Kluyveromyces lactis: one gene and its partner. The protein of the gene in region 1 interacts with the protein of each later gene in a pairwise test. Links are inferred from orthologs where the notes say so. Each region holds a gene or a part of one and is shown on either strand. Other genes may lie near its edges.

The links. The genes of interacting proteins can lie anywhere in the genome.
Region 2: the proteins of GRR1 (region 1) and SSN2 interact in a two-hybrid assay, tested with the Saccharomyces cerevisiae proteins (2 studies listed by BioGRID). The link is inferred for Kluyveromyces lactis from reciprocal best matches to the Saccharomyces cerevisiae genes GRR1 and SSN2.

The regions. Positions count from the first base shown.
Region 1 is NC_006041.1:541,756-550,565, reverse strand, and holds GRR1 (SCF ubiquitin ligase complex subunit GRR1), read right to left. Parts: upstream 4,688-8,810; coding exon 968-4,687; downstream 1-967. Other genes in the region: BIR1 (survivin), read left to right, coding at 1-791; JSN1 (Jsn1p), read right to left, coding at 5,290-8,574. UniProt on the Saccharomyces cerevisiae protein: Substrate recognition component of a SCF (SKP1-CUL1-F-box protein) E3 ubiquitin-protein ligase complex which mediates the ubiquitination and subsequent proteasomal degradation of target proteins.
Region 2 is NC_006038.1:105,744-114,427, reverse strand, and holds SSN2 (Ssn2p), read left to right. Parts: upstream 1-4,044; coding exon 4,045-8,208; downstream 8,209-8,684. Other genes in the region: KLLA0_B01397g (FAD-binding oxidoreductase), read left to right, coding at 1-1,657; KLLA0_B01375g (putative hydrolase), read right to left, coding at 1,797-3,719; Smc5-Smc6 complex subunit NSE5, read right to left, coding at 8,229-8,684. UniProt on the Saccharomyces cerevisiae protein: Component of the SRB8-11 complex. The SRB8-11 complex is a regulatory module of the Mediator complex which is itself involved in regulation of basal and activated RNA polymerase II-dependent transcription.

The DNA.
Region 1 (8,810 bases):
TTCAAAGTTTACCAGATCGTGAACGAGATTTGCTTCGGCCTAAGCAGAATCCAATAGATGAGCCAGAACTCGCCAATGACGTTTCAAGAGCTCAAAATAGAATGGAACAGGGTGCCGATATTAGCAATGAGCTAGTCGAAAGTCACGCTAACAATTTGGGTGCGGATAACACGGAGCGAAGAACTTCAAACCGATTATCAGATGAATGGTCTTTATCTTTAACATTCCAAGATGTCAACGGGCAAGGAACACCAGATGTATCGCCCTCCAACAAGCCAAAAGTATCTTTCGCACCATTTCCCTCCTCACCAGACGTGGACACTAAAGCTGTCATTAACAATTCTAACCATTCTACGGATCACCCACATCTGGATCAAAAATACCAAGATGCAGAATCAATAACGCAGACCACTCCTATTGAAAGCCTACCAAAATGGAACGTATTACATAACAGTGAGCTAACTTCCTTGAGTGAGGATGTCTTAACACTTAATAAGTATTTCAGCGATCTGTTATTGTACATGAATAGAATTGATGCTTCATTGGCTTCTGATTTAACGGGTGAGCTGACTTTTTTCATAAACAGCATGCCTAATGAGGAGCTTGCCCTGAACTTCAAGAACTGGATTGATCAGAAAGGAAAGGAGATTTTTGAATCTTTTGAAACCACCATTAATACAAAAATAGAGACATTACAACGACAATTCTCAACAGCAAAGGAATTCATACAGCAAATCGATGACGACTCCGTCTTGCTTGAGTTTGCTAATAGGTTTAATATTGACTTCTGACGAAATACGTCAACTACATAAAAACAGAGACACAAACATAGGGGTTTCTACATATATCGATTGACCAAACAACGGCGTCGAAAAATTGTATTAGTATTATTAGTATTATAATTGTTATCATTATCATCGACACTACGATCATATTTCTCCGTGCTAATTTCTTCACTTAACTTGAGTTACTCCTCAATGATTTGATCATCCGGAGTTTCTCTATTCTGTTCGTTTCCGGGAGGTAAGAAGAGCCTCAAATCTATATTATTATCATTGTTATCAGTTTCTTCAGCCACAGTTCCTCCTGGTGGTAATAGCATATTGACACCCATGTCAATATCTCCCTCTCCGTCAGGAAGATCATTAGCAGCCTCTCTGTCCCATGTTTCCCTGGCACGTTGTAAAACCAATTCTCTTTGACGGGTAAGTACTGTCAAACTTTCCTTCACGTAAATTCTCAACACTAAAGCTGTAATCTTAAAATTTCTCATTAAATCCTTGAAGCAAGGTGACCACCACTTTTTCCACAGCACAAATCCTAAGAGGTCTTTTGGCTCTTCTGAAGCTTTAATTCTCTGATATATTTCTGAGATATATCTGTTTAAATCGACGAATGTTATGTAAATCGAAGACATTTCTGCAATTAACGTACCACAATATTGGAATTGGATCCTGCATAAACTGGCGACATTGACTTCAAAATCTAACACACGATTCAATATTTTACGGAATTTCCTTATAACATCAGCGAGTTCATTATTAATATTAGAAGAAGCCGGTGGTGCAACCGTAACATATCTATCCGTAAACCTTGGATCAAGCGGATTATCGTAAAAAGATCGGTCGAAATCTTCCAGTGCAGTAAGATCAGCAGAGCTTACAACATGCTCATCTTCAGAAGTTATCAGCATGGATGAGAATACATGGTCAAGATGAGCAAATTCAATTTGGTTAAAAGGCTCATTAGCGAAATTGAAGACTGCAGAAGCTGCAAACAATGCGGCAGAATCAAGATCGGCGTTATGGGATAACCTTTCAAGATCCTCATCTTCAATAGTGTCAGACTGTATTGCGTTTTTGTTTTTTAAAAAGCTGATGAAAATTTCGTCAGATTTGGTGCTAGGTCCATCGGTAGGTTCATGAATACCCATTAAATGATGACGCAACTTATGAACGCCCTTTCCGGAAAATACACAGAATATCTGCCTTTGATTAGCGGTAAATTCACTGGGGGGAGAACGACAAAACTGCGTGATATCGGGACGAAGAAAAGATGGAACTGCAGTTAGCGATAAGTGCGATAACTTGGGGCATGCCATCAACAATTCATATATAGGATAGATCGTTAGACTGGTACAGTAAGATAGATGGACTCTCTCTAACGTGTCATTCCTTCCGCGAATGCTTATCATTGTTAAAAGTCCCTCATCTGTAATCTGAGAGCACTTAACCATACCTATTCTTTTAAGTTTGGGCAACTCAGCGAGTTCGTAAAGGGTTTTGTTTGTCAAATTGGTGCAACAAGCAAAATCGATATATTGAATCTTGGGGCAATTGCTTACTAAAACCCTGACACCTTCATCTGAAATATTGAAACAGTGACCAAAATGCATTGTCTGTATATTTTTTCCCAATCTTGCCAACGACTTTAGAGCGGAATCTGTGATACGGCTGCATTTCCCCAAAAATAAGTTTCTTAGCTTGGGTGCTAAAGTAACAAGTTTATCAATTGTCTTGTCCGTGATGTTTTCGCAACCAGAGAAGTCGACTAGTCTTAATGCAGGTAATCCCATGGTTTCCTGAGAAACCGCCAACATAAACTCATCGGTGATGTTCGTGTTATGCGTGACTCTGATTTCTCTTAATTGAGGTAAAGAGGTGAATAGCGTAACCAAGCCATGATTATCAATATTCGGTGTTGACGTTAAATCCACCTCTACGAGAAATGGACAACATTTGACCATTTTCATCACCAAATCATTTTCAATAGATTGATTAAAAGTTATTTTGACACGTTTTAACATCGGCGCGTGAGTGATAAAATTCGAGATAGCATTAGGTGAGACATCGTTTGAATGAGGAACATAAAGTCCCTGAATCCTCTCACAATCCGATGCTAATACTTCAAACAAATCATCTCTAATGTGATGAATACCAGTTATGTCGACACTTTGTAAATATTGACAACCCTTTAAAACTTTTGCCACAGATTTGGTTGTAATATATTTACAGAAAACCAAAGTAAGTCTTTCAAGGTTAGGACACCCAATGAAATGTTCTAGTTTTCTATCTGTCATATAGTCACCAACGAATGAAAAATTTAAACGTTTTATCAAGCTCCTGTAATCAAATAGCGTCTCTTCCTTAGGCTTGCTCATGGTAATCAAAAAAGAATTCAATTGCTGCTGTTTATTGATATGGGGACGATAATATATGAGTTTTGCAATGACTTCAGCCCAAGCCTTAGAAACAGCCATTAAGGGAACAATATTGGCTTTTTGACTTTTTGCTTCTAAAACCATTGCTAGGATTTCATGAGGAAGATCAGATAACGGGAAAGTGTTCTTTGGTGTTTTGATTCTGGTATATAATGCATTATCTTTAGAAACCATTGAGAGCATCTGGGGCAACTGGCTTCTCACGTGATTAGACATAAACTTCCATTCCTCTTCTGAGACATGCATATCATATAAAGCCAAGTCCAATCCTCTTTTTGTCCAAGGAGAGTATTTCAAAAACAAATCGCGATAGTAATAAATAGGATTTGGTACGTTAGGGTTGGTATTCTTTCTTTTATAGTAGTCATGTATCGATCTCGCCATCCTTTTGATAATTTCCGAATATTTTTCTTGATAGGAATGTAGAGAATAGAGTTCCATTTCGATTGCCCTTAAAATAACTCTTTGCTGTTTCATAATTGTTGATTTTAGATGTTCAACAACTTCCGTCGACAAATTACTCTCCGCTAAAAATGCTGAATAGTTTAGGTCACGAAGTCGCTGGATTCCTAGCTGCAAAGACTCCTTAAGATAGTTTTTTCTTAATTCTATAATACCTAATGCAAATTTAAATCTGTATCTTGAAAGTTCGACAATTTCACTTAATGCTGTAGTGTCTTCTGGTGTAAGTTGGACTTGCTTCAGTAAGAAATCCAACAACGCTTCCTTTTCGGTCCAGTTAGAGCTGTCATCTAATGCTTCTTTTTGCATTTTGAGAACAAAATTCTCAATATTTTGTCTTGCCCTCATATCGATTTTGTGTTTATCAAAATATTCTTGTAATTGTTCAGAATCACCTTCGATCGGTGGTAATTTCCATCCTTCTTTTTCTATGTTTTCAAACAACTGTCTTAAATCATCTTCAATTTGTGCAATGCCACTAAGGGCGGATTTCCGCTCTCTAGCCAAAAATGGTCTTTGGTGTAAAGACAGTTTACTAGGATTCATGGTAGTAAACCAGTCAGCAGGCAGACCAGAAGATACATGAGCACTTTCCCTCGATAAGTTAGCTTCACGAGCAGCTCCCCGCGTCAATTCTTCGAAATGGTCAGCGGTATTATTATCTATATCAGTACTTCTTCTGTTATCTTCGTCAGTTCCTGTAGTATTCAGTATTTCACCGTCGATATTGTTATTACTATTATTATCGTTAGTTCCGTTATTGATCAGTTGATTTGATCTGAAAATATCAGAAAGGGTATCGTTTCCAAGAATGCTAAGATTCCTATTATTAAGAGCCTCCCAATTAAGCTCATTCTCATCCGTCAGCTCATCCACTCTTAACGGAATTGCATCCCTGCTGCCTGTCTGGCCCCTCCTGGCTTGTGCTCTTAAATTCCAAGCAGCGCCAGGACTGACCTGAAACTGCCATTCAGAATTATCGGATGCCGGTTGCTGTGGGTCCATTGTAGCGTAGCAATTTTAAGTATCACTCAAAATAGTACAAATACTTCCTTTTGAGTTTCATCTACTATTGGCTCCACTTAATTGGACCTGTATTTTATCACATAAAACGTTTAATCAGCAAGGAGAGAGCGGTTACCTTTTTTTGTGACATAGAAATTACGCAAAATATACTAAGAAGTATCACAGAAGACGAATACTGTCAAACTAGAGGAAGCTGAGAAGAATAAACTTTGAAGATCGAGGTATATATAATATATTTATGTACATTTAAAAGATGAAAAGGAGAAGTTATATCTATATTATGAGACGAAAGTGTATGAAGTCATCGATCGAGACAGCAGTTTGTGCTGCAAGCTTGTTTTAATAGGTTTTAGGTCGTAAAAATCATCATCCTGGAATAACATAAGTAGGATCAGGAGTCGTTTGCAATAATTGTGTAAGTTTTTGATCATGAAACAGAAGGTGAGAAATAGATGAGAGGGAAGCGAGGGGAGGTTCTTATTATACAGGGATGTTCCCCACAGGATACTTTAGCGTCTTACGTGCCACATTTTCTTTTTTTTTTTAATATTATTAGTATGTAACAATAGCTCGTGAACAAATCAGTGGTTGAACATTCCATCACCAAACTGTCCATTATGATGTCTATTCTGAGAATGGGGGAGTGGTTGACCATTCATTGTTAGTTGCGGCAAGGATATTTGCGTGCCATTATTGAATGTCAGCATATCAAAATTTGACACTAAATCATCATTCAGACCACTGGTTGACGTGGAATACTGATACGGTTGTGAAGCGGGAAACATGCCAGGGTAGGTGTAGTAGCTTGCTTGCCCAGAGATGCCAGAAATGGACGCTTGCTGAGGTTGATGCTGAGGTTGAGATTGGGATTGTTGAGGTAACTGAGCTTGGACCTGAGAAGATTGGATGGGTTGCTGTTGAGATTGTGCGTTCGAGGAGGCTCTTGGTCTAGAAGATGCCGACCTGACACTGTTGACGGAAACAGTCCTCATATGTTGAGGATGGTCATTACCAAAAACATGGGAAATACTCATTCTTGGCTTGGTTTGAGCGGTAGATGGTTGATTGTTTATTGCATTCAAGCCCACTTCTTCCAAGAGTCTGCGATGCTGTGTGATATTAGATTCTGTGGTCAAAATGTAGCGAACTTGTTCGATAACATGGTGTCTAACGTCTCCTTCCAACATAGGAATAGACAAAACTTTATAAACAAAAGATGGTCCATAATTCGTGTCACTCAACAACTGATATAAGAGCTGAGGTGGTTTAGAAGATATTTCGTTATCCATAGGGCCGAAGATAGTATCTAATATAGCCCTTTTGGCAACTTCATCACCACGATAGTTCAAGATTTTCAAAATTGTTAATGAGGCAAGCTTATGACACCCTAATTCGAAAATATTTGGTAATAATGCCTCAGCAAGTATTGAGTGTCTTTTTGGCAAAGTACAAGTGTCTAAGAACCACGTAACCAAAAGGGCCCCATTGCTATTGGTGGCTAAATATTTCACAAAAAACACAATCATAGCACTAAGTAATAAGAGTTGTTCTTGAGTAATTATGTCATGGGCTTCCAAACAAGCTCTGACTGCACGAGCTCCATATCTATTTTGCACGATATTCCAGAAGTTGGAAACAATATTCTCGAAGATAAAGTTGTTCCAAGGGAAACCAAACTTCAACACACATTGAATAACGTAGTTACCAAATTGATCGTTGAACAATGGGGTACAATACTTATAGACTCCGTTTGCCACATACATTTTTTGTCTTGGGGTATCTGCGTTTGTAATCATCTTTTGACATGCCCAAGTACCATTCTTGTGTACACCCATCGATGTCAAATATACGCTTGTCTTTCTTAACATAATATCTTTAATGACGGAAGAGGCATGTTCAAATAGTTTCTGTACTATAGTATTACCTAAATAGTCCGAACTCAGTTCTGGTATTTCATCCAACATAGCTAGAACTAGCTGTTCAATTTCCAAATCTGACATTTGTCCAGAATCAATACTTTTTCGTAATTCACGAAGCCTTGGGGCATCGAACTCCCTTGTAGATAAGGGCTCAGGTAATGGACCGAAATCAGTAGTATCACTTGTTCCATTGTATTCAATTGCGTTTGCAATGATATGCTGGTACTGAGATGTATCATAATTGATACCAAACTTATTAATAGTATCGTTCAACAAAGTGATATTCTCCTTGAAAGATGGTGGTGGTAGTGGGAATGGACATTGTTCCTTCTCAGAATTACTTGAGGATGGATTGGTAGGTGACACAAATGCTTGAGAGCTCGATTGTGCGTGCGTATTGCCAGTAAAAGAAGGAACGGATACGTTACCTTGCTGTTGGAATTGGACTGCGCCTGAGAATAACTGTTCTTGTAGCAGGGACTGAGGGTTGATGGCAGTAGATTGATGGTTATTTTGCTGTTGAGTTTGCTGAGTCTGAGGTAGTTGTTGATGCATAGGTAAGACTTTTGCAAAGGAAACAGTACTTGGAGCACCGACTAGAGATACTTCTTTACCATTCAAAGCCTCTTTTGCCTTGATGGCAGCTTCCACAGAGGCAAATTCAACAATTGCCATATTAACGCCCCTCAAGGTCCGTGCTGAAATGACAGTTCCAAATTTCAAGCACAACGTTGCCAAACTTGTACTCGTCAAATTGACAGTATTGGACAAATGAGGCTGCTGCTGTTGCAATGAAAAGACATTAGAGATGGATATGGTATTAGTTGGTAATAAGTTTGAAATGTGGTTGATCGATGGTACTGATGGATCAGTTGTCACCCAATTGATCGATCTGGAATCCATGTCATCTTGAACAATTGGGTTGGTAGAAGCAGCAGTGGCTTTTAGTTGTGGATCCATAGAAGGTGGTATAATGAAAGTAGAAGCCCTAGATCTAGTATCCATCTGGTCGTAGGTTGGAGCGTCGGTATAGATACTGGACGCATTTGATTGAGACCTAGGTCTCGAATTCCAAACCCCTCCAATTTGTTGAGATTGGAACTGATGGGCACCAGCTGTTGTTGCTCCAGGTACACCCAAGTTATTAATGTTATTAGAACTTGTGTTCAGATCGAAATAGTTACCAGTTGCCTCATAAGGACTATACGTACCTGGTGCTAAATGGCTGTTGTTATTATTATTATTATTATTGACATTAGTTGGATTAGTAGTTGTTTGAATGCCAGGAGGAGACATTGGATTCACACTCATATCGTTAGGGAACCAAACATTGCCGACATTTGGGACCAACCCGTTGACGTTAGAAGGGCCAGTAATTTGAGATGAAACGGTATTGTTCCTAGTTCTGGAAATGGTATTTGATGCAGTTGGTTGAAGCGGGACGCTGTTTGTGGCAAAAGTGAACGAATCACCGGAAAGCCTTGGTTGTGATGGGACCAAAAGACTTGAACTATCCGGAAGATGAATAGCTTGATTGTAATCTACGTCAAGTGGCGGGGTGATATGTCCAGGCACTGACAAATTAATCTGAGCTATAGAACCCGACTTCGAAGTCTGTTCACTGGTATTTGCAGTCGCATCATCCGAGCTTAACTCACCAGAATGGTTACCTTCTCCCACGGCACTACTACCCTTTGAACCCTTCTTATTATGATGCAATTTCGCACTGATACTAGGTAAAAGATTCGATAGCGTGTTGGAGAATTTCCCTGCCTTGGATCTATAAGAACCTAGCTTCTGTGGCTGGATTGGTAGCTGGTCTATATTATTGCCACCACTTAAGGTGAAATCATCTTCGTATATGGGAATTGTCACTCCTGGATCGATAACTTCCGGAATGTTGGACAATCCTGACATAGAATCGCCGGAAGCTTTCCTCTTCTCCATAACGTGAATTGGATATTTGCGAGAAGCCGGGAAAAAAACCTATTTGCTATTTTTGACCTGTTCCTTGGAAAGTTAGCTTTAGCTCTGATTGATAAGTTTTATATCTCGGTTTTCTAAACACACTAGAGTCGGGTCAATGAAAGTAAGAGCCAATTATTAGATAAAAGTATATCTTTGTCTTCTGAATCGACTACACTAGAATCTCACAGTGAATATACCCTTTTGACTAACTCGGT
Region 2 (8,684 bases), on another chromosome or scaffold:
CAGGTTTTATTCTGTGGAAAGTAATGGTAAGAGGATAGGAACTAGCACAAACGACAATGGTGTAAGGCTTTCCCTTGTTTCGGGTAGTCTAATTGTCGGAATCGGGTTGGGATTGATATCTTCAAGTTATTTTGTTTCGAAAGGGGACAAACAGGTGTTCCCATTACAGTCTACCACACCATTAACAGCTTTGGATCCGCCAAGATACGGCTCGGATGAAGATTTGAAACTTTGTATTAAAGAAATTATTCAAACTATTGGATCAGATAACGTGAAGAACACCGAAGCAGAACTGGATCACCACACTGATAACGGATTTAACCCAACAAAACCGCAACCTCATCAGAAACCGAGATGGATTGTGTATGCTACCTCCACAGAAGACGTAAGTGCTGTTATGAAGATCATCAATAAATATAACATCCCTGTTGTGCCCTTCTCTGGGGGTACTTCTCTGGAAGGCCACACATATTCCACACGGCCAGGTATTGTCTTGAACACTTCTAAGATGAACAAAATTTTGGCTGTCCACCATAAGGATTTGGATGCTGTGCTGCAGGCTGGTGTGGGATGGCAACAATTAAACGAATACTTAGCGAGTGTGCCAGAATATAAAAACATGATGTTAGGCTGTGACTGTGGTCCTGGGGCTCACGTATGCGGGATGGTCAATACTAATGCTTCAGGTATCGGAGCAACAAGGTATGGATCCATGGGTGCTAATATCATTTCTATCACTGTCGTGTTAGCTGATGGTACTGTGGTCAAGACCAAAAAGAGACCTCGCAAGTCAAGTGCTGGTTATAACTTGACAGGCCTTTTTGTAGGTAGCGAAGGCACGTTAGGTATAGTTACTGAAGTGACTGTAAAATTACAAGTGAGGCCACCATACGAAACAGTGGCAGTTGTTCAATTCCCCACTTTAAAGGACTCCACAAATACTGTCGCAGAACTCTTCCAAAAAGGTATTCAATTAAATGCAGTAGAATTATTGGATTCAAGCATGATGAAATGTATTAATTACAGCAATTTGGTGAGCAAAAAATATGATAATGTACCTACTTTGTTCTTCAAGATTTCAGGATTGAACAAAACCGTGGTACAAGAATATGTCAAGCAAGTTAAACAAATTTCTCAGGATAATCACTGTTCCAAATTCGAATTTGCAAAGAACGAACAAGAGGCAGAGGAGCTTTTTTCAACTAGAAAGAATGCTTTATATCTAATGTTGGACTATGCCTTCAATGAAATTGATGAAAACGCAAAGATGTGGATCACAGATTGTGCAGTGCCACTTTCCAATCTTGCAGCTACTCTCGAAGAATTGGATAAAATCACAGCAACTTACCCTCTAACTCATATGACCTTGGGTCATGTTGGTGACGGGAATATCCACTATGATATTTTCTATGAACCGGATCAGTTTGAAATTTGCAAACAGCTGGTAGCTGAAATCAATGCTGTTACTCTTAAAAATGAAGGTACGTGTTCTGGGGAGCATGGTATTGGAACTGGTAAAAGAAAGTTTTTGGAGGATGAATTAGGATCAGATACTGTCGATCTAATGCGGAAAGTAAAGTTAGCTATAGATCCAAAGAGACTGTTGAATCCAGATAAAGTACTCAAGATCGATCCCTTAGATCCTAGTAACGAATGAAACCACCAACCACAAAAAGGAAAAGATACCAGAGGTGTGAAGCCTCGTATCCTCTGAGAACGCGATCTATAGACTACTAATTTATTTTATTTATATACAGTTGAACTTTTAATGATATTATTATTACTATAGTCATCATTCATTCTATCATTGCCTTCGATCCAAAGTGTTCATCGGCAATATGATTGACAACTATCCAACCGAATGAATTAACAAACCTGCGACGAACAATGATGTTATTATGGGAATCAGGCTGTAGCTCAACGATGACCTTTCTCCAGTCCATTGTCTCCTGCCAGTACCTTGCTATTCGTTCTTCTTTCATATGGATCGAGTAATTGGGATATATTATCTTTTTCACAAGCTTCTTATGTTTGTAGTGTTTATCTGGTAATTCTTCCGGGGTATAAACCTTGTCATGAATAATTCTGTCCGTTCTACTGGAGGGATCCACTAGGTACGACATTCCTGGCAGCGGTGCCGATATTGTACTTGCAGCAGCTTGCAATGTATTTGCCTTTTTTGGAGGTTTGAAAGTAGTTGGAGAGTCAGAATTATTGTTCGAATCACTACTGGCAGATTCTACCGAACTGGTAGTTTGAGTCCGCACATACGGTTTATATTTTTCCTTTTTAATGAGTGACTGGGGCAGCAACCATTGGAGAATAGACTTATTGTCCGAAGAGCTCTCTGGAATTTCCCCCAAAGATGACCCTTTCTGTTCTTCAACTCCCTCCTCAGATTGGGCATTGTTTTCGCTCCTCACCTGTTGCACATCACTTAAACCTCTCCAATCAAGATATAGTAAAGCAGCCGTCCTTAGAGGCACTATACCATCAAATGCGACATTAGCATACACGGTTCTACACTTGAATCGTTGGAAAACTTCTAACGCCGGATGTTTAGGTAAAAGCTCTAATATGGGTTTAGATTTGATTCTATCATGTGATCCATCATTATTTACAATACCTTTTGATGGCAGAAAATAGCTGCGCTTCAATGTGAGATCCCTTCCAGTCTGTCCCAAAGCGCCAATGTCCAGCACGATAGATATGTATTTGGGCAAATCTCCAATGACTCCGAGGAATGGGCTCGCCGCCGCCACAAAATTGACGGGTGTCAAGCCTGTGGTCTTGTCAAATATGTCTGGTCGTTCGACAGAGATATAGTGAATGGCCATAGCTTGCACGGGTCCTCCCAAAGAGTGACCTACAAATGAGATTCTTGTTAAGGTGAATTGCTGTTGAAGTTTATCGATGGTATCGATTATATATTCTGCCAACTTGAATCCTAGATGCCGTATACCTTTATGAGACTTCCCGACGTTTCCAGGATACCCTCTTATTACAAGATTGCCATTATTATCATCTGGCAAAAAGTTCGACGCTCGTTCAATGGTGTCTTTTAAGCAAAGCATATCTCCGCCAATAGAAGAGAAGATGCCATGTGTAATAATTACGAGATGAACTGGCTTATCTGGAAATGGCGGAGGTAAATTCCACAACTGTTCAGTGTCAAGTTTGGAAATTTTCAACCCATCAGTCTGCTGAACTTCTATATTCTTGTCTTTCTGGGAATGTTTAGCAGTTTTGTATGTTGTAGCTAGCGTGAAGACGAATGGAAGCCTTACAATGGTAACGACAGTGAACTGGGCAATAAGGTCAATCTTCCAAGCATAACAAGAAGTACCGTCAACTCGAGCATTAGAATTGAGATAAAGTTTCGCTTTGAAATTCTCATCAGGCTTGAGGTCACTCATGAACTCAATTCCATCTCCTATGAATTGCTTTCTCTCGTCATAATTGTTCGGCGTTATTTCAACATAAATTGAGTATGGTCCAGTTATCCATAACGGCCTCAAAAGCGCGCTCTCCTGGTTTTTGAATTCGAGATAGAGAGTATCGTCAGTACACTCAATTCCGTCAGATAGTAGCTTATTTTTATCTACAATTATCTTATAGCGATTGACATCCCCGATACCAAGTGACCCTGTTTCCCTTAAAAGCAGAATACCACTATCTGATGACTCAGTGTCGTTCTCTTCAGTCAGTTTTATTGCCATCTTGGCATACGCCAACCACTGTTAGCAGAAGTACAGGTTATACTGCGTTTCCAATTGAGAGTGCGCCGCTAATCACGGGGGGTGCGTTTAGCTTTATGCTTTGGTACCTGTCATTCATTGTTTTGTATTGGCAATCTTTTTTGTTTTTGTTTTATAATGATCAAGCGATTCATTATTATAAGTAGTGATAACTCGAGATAAAATCGTATAATTTTAAAAGAAGGTAACTAGACAGCATCTCTTAACAAGTACGGATTTTTGAAGTACCGTTGCATCCTAATCAGTCTGACTATCCAGCTTACTTTTCATCAGAGCAACGGAAACCATGAAAAAGGAGGTTGGGGACGCATGTCGATTGGAGGACATCGTTACCAATTTATACAGGTTAGAAACTGTCAAACAAATAAACTATCACCAATATGTACCTAGCAAGGCAGATAATCAATGGTCAATTCAAGCAGAGTTGTTCCTAAGGAGGAAAAACCCCAAAGTACTTGCAGCTCTTTTTTCCAGGGAGTTATGGTGTTTTAGTATTAACGATGATCCATTACCAGAGTTAAACCTTGAGCTGAATAACGAATCGGAGTCACCCCAGCCAGAGCGGAAGGGTCACTTCACCCCAGAATTCTCAAAACCTCACTTGCCTACCCCATATGCCATCTTTATGAAGGCTCTCAGGCGTATGATATATGTCAATTTGACCCTATCCTCCAATGAAACCATCGTGCCCTTTGGAAACTCATGCATATTTCAGGAATCATATACCTTTTCGACCAAAATCTTACACTTTGATCCACATCTATTTGAAAATGGAGATTTGACTGTTGCAATTTGTTCCAAGGATTTGGGTTTATCGAAGTTGAATGCAGAGAGCCTCAAACATGAAGTGGCTGTGTATTTGGCTCCATCTGGGATCAGAGTGTATTTACCATCCACAGATTTAAAGAAATGTTATGTATCACCACCCAAAAACGCTCAAATGTTTCTCAAGACACTATTTGTCTCCCATGGAATAAATTTAATCGATGTCGACGGTTTGAAATGGGTAAAGCTTATTCCAAATGCTAACCATTTGAATGGCTTCACTCCAACAATATCACATTATCTTGACGAACCAAAAGGAAATAATTTCGTTATCTGGCCGGCATGTCTCTGTTTTGTACAAACAGCATCTGACGTTCAAACTCCTCAATATACTGCATTTTCAAGATCCCCGCAGCTTGAGTTAGATGATTGTTTCGATATGATAGATGGATTTATACAGTTAAAACTCACTTCGGCCTACAGAACGCCTGGAACATCTGCAGGGATGGGAACTGTAACCGGACATAACCCATTAAGTACGGGAGGAATATTTACTGATCAGTTTCAAGGGTTTAATAAGCATTCGGCCAATAACAGCAATAACGTATCTTCAACGGGAGAGAATGGTAAGTTTTCTCCGGAATACTCTAATGATCCAAACGTAACACCTCTGCGAGATAATAAAACTAGTAGACAGAATTTCCCCACAGAGAGTTACAGCAGTAATGGTTTCATTACAACTCCAATAATAAATGAGAATATCACTCCAACCGTTGATGATATTATAACAGAAACTCCTTCCGTAAAACCTCAGAACGATCTTTGGAATGAGAAAAAGGATGTAATAAATAGTACATCCAATATCAACTCAAAGGACGCATCAGTAGGTAGTTCTGAGCGTAAAGTAGAACTGGAAACCGCTTTTGAATCTCCCGCTCAGAATATTTCGATAGAGGAACACGAGCATGTAGAATTCGACAAAGATCTTTTTGGTGAAGATAGCGACGAAGATGTCAGTACGCGAAATAAGAACGAAGAACTGGTATCTGTAAAAGAGATTACTGACGAAATGTTTGATCTAGCCGAAGATGACGATGAGGCTGACGGATCAACTAGTAACTCGTTAAAGTTTGATCGTCCCGACACCATCGAGTCTATTGATACTGACGAAAAGAAGACAAGAACAAAGCGTACCTATTTGGACATACCAGTGGATGTCATTACTATAGAAAAGACACCTACATTATACGAAGATCCAGGAGCACCTTTGCCTATTGAAACCCCAAAAGACAGAAAGAAAAGTATATTCGCACCACTCAATTTCAACCCCATCTTTGAAAGTAATGTGGATAACAAGTACAAGAATGGAGGTAAGTTTTCTGTTAACTCGAACACCAATGACGAACCAATACAATTTGGGATAAGTACAAGTAATATATCAAGCTCAGAAGATGATGATAGCGATTTTTCTCCTGCTGATTTCAACAATAATGGACCATCTGCAGGAAAGGGCTTATCATATGATCCAAGAGACAATGATATACCAATGATCGAGTCATCAACATACGAACCTATTGCAAAGGACTCTCTTCCCGAATTGATAAACCCACCATCTTCTTCCAAAGATGATTCTGTGGCATCTTATAATACGATCGGAACTCTAATGGAAAAACCTGTTAAGTCCAACTTAGACGCAATATGGAAGCCCGCCTTAAGTAAATCAGAAAGAGCTGATCTACCAAACCAGACAATTAATGGGGTCATAAACGACTGCAATAACAGCTCAAACTCAAATCCCACAACTTACTTTGAGAATACGCCTTCTCTCGGACCGGATACTCTATATGATAATTCAAAACCAAGAAGTTCATCAGCTAACTTTCTTTCCACGGTTGAAATCGACCCCAAAAGCGAACAAACTATTCAAACCGCAGAGCAAGAACAATCTGAATCATCTAGAATTCTCCCCTACCTTTTGAGACACATGCCTTTGTTCTCGTTGCCTGACGTGTTCCTTTGTCAGAATCCATCTTTGCCGCCCGGAAAAGACTTCGAGGATATTCTAGAGATTTTGACAGATCAGATAGTCTTCAATAATGATATGTTTTCTGATGATAGGGCAACAGAATCTCAGTTTAAAGGGATCAAGGATTGCTCCGTTGGCACCATCAGCGATACCATGAACCAGCTTTTTGGGAATTTTTCAAAGCTTCACGGAAACGAAATAATAGAGGAAGTCTTCTATTTGCCTGAACCATCAGTGTTTGTGAAGAAATCTGAAGATACAATTAAAATAAAAAGCTCATCGTGTTATTTCACGGAATATTTAAATCTGAAACCCAACCGTGGGGTAAAAAATTTCAGGGCCCTAGTGCTAACCACTGAGGCAAAAAATGATTGCATGTCTTTCGTATCACAAATGTCTCAGACATATTCGAATCATGAGTTAGGGTTCTGTGAACTGACTAAGTTGACTAATGACGATAATAAAGGGTTAATATACTTAAAAAATTTTAACCAAGACACCTTACTACTTCTTTCCGCACAGATTGTATCTTTCTGTTCAACAGCACTCTCAAATATTAAGAACATTCCTTTACTCATCTTTCTCCCCATCAACAAACTTTCATTAACAGAATGTATATCAATGATCCTCAAGTTTCATGTAATCAGGAAGGAGTTCAAATCTAAGTTACCAAAGGCAGATATTTTGTTGAGGCTCGTGAATATAGATTTCCTCAAAAATCCACTTACACCTATCACTGCGTACACTTCATTGTGTATGGCAATCTATAATAGTCTACCACCAAAAAGTACTAAGGTAACGTCCCTAACAAATGATTTACCCAAACAAATTGAGTTCCGGACACTGAAGAATGCCTCCTTATCTATCCATTACGATAACTACATCCATTTGGCATACTTGAGAAGTATTGATCGTGAGTGGCTGTGTGCTGCCTGGTCAGACACCAAAGGCGTCGAAAGCTTCGTGAAAACCTGGTATGTCGGTAACTCCAGAACTCGTTTCGAACAAGTGTGCAATGACATCTGGAAAATAACCCTACAATTGGCGTCTAAGAATTTTGGAAATGTTTGCTTGGTGTTGACAAGACTCGATAGTGTCCTTCCTGATGACGAATTGATCCATTGGAGACGTCTATCAGTCGCCACAAAAGATCTCCATCTTGCTGTGGTCTGTGTCGGAGATAACACGAAATTAACATTATTCGATGAGGACAAAACATACCCAACATTTAAAAACTTGTTCAGAACGAAATCGAATCCGCAGACAGGAATATCAAACAGTATAGACGATCTTGAGATAATTAACATTGATGAGGAAGTCCATGGACTAATATTCAGTAACCCGTTGCAGCTAGCAAACTCCCAGCATAGATGCGCCATCAAAAGTGGAGCATTGATTCGTTTTGCAAAAAGCGAAGGCGATAACTTCATTGATAAATTTGAGGTAAATCTTTTGAACTGCCCTCATGCAGACAGTTCAACACTTTTGAAGGAAATCTTAAAACAATACAGAAACTTGGCAGGTTTGAATCCATGGTTCGGAGTATCCTATGGAAAAGATAATTTCATTCCGTGGCATGTCGTTGCAGTAAAAAATGTCATGAACTCTATTGTACATGTTAAGAGCTCATTCGAAAAGGAGACCCATATTATTGATTAGTTTGAATAGATAAAGTAATATTAATAGGTCTGCTCGAACAAGGGTATCACGTCTTTCACATCCATGAAAGAGTTCGGAGACTTCGCAAATGTGGTCAAAACTCTCAGAAGTTCTTCAAAGTTCCCTTGTGGATGAGTAGTTATGATTAACCTAGTCAATATAATTATGCAAAAATCCATCTGTATTCTCCGCTTCGAAATTCGAGAACGGTTGAATGCCGCAGACCTGTCTATGGCTCTGAGCAATTTCATTAATTCTGAAGTCACTTCTTCAAAATTCGACATCTTGTTAACAATGTTGAAAGTCCGCCTTGGCTCAACATTACTAAACGCCTTATTCAATAACTTTTCAACCAATGTTGTTATCAAATTTCTGTCCTTTTCTACATCGCATGAGAGGAAGAACTGTTTGAACGAACTAATTTTTAAATCACTATACAGTGCATCAACAATTGTGCCATACAATGCGTCAAGTGT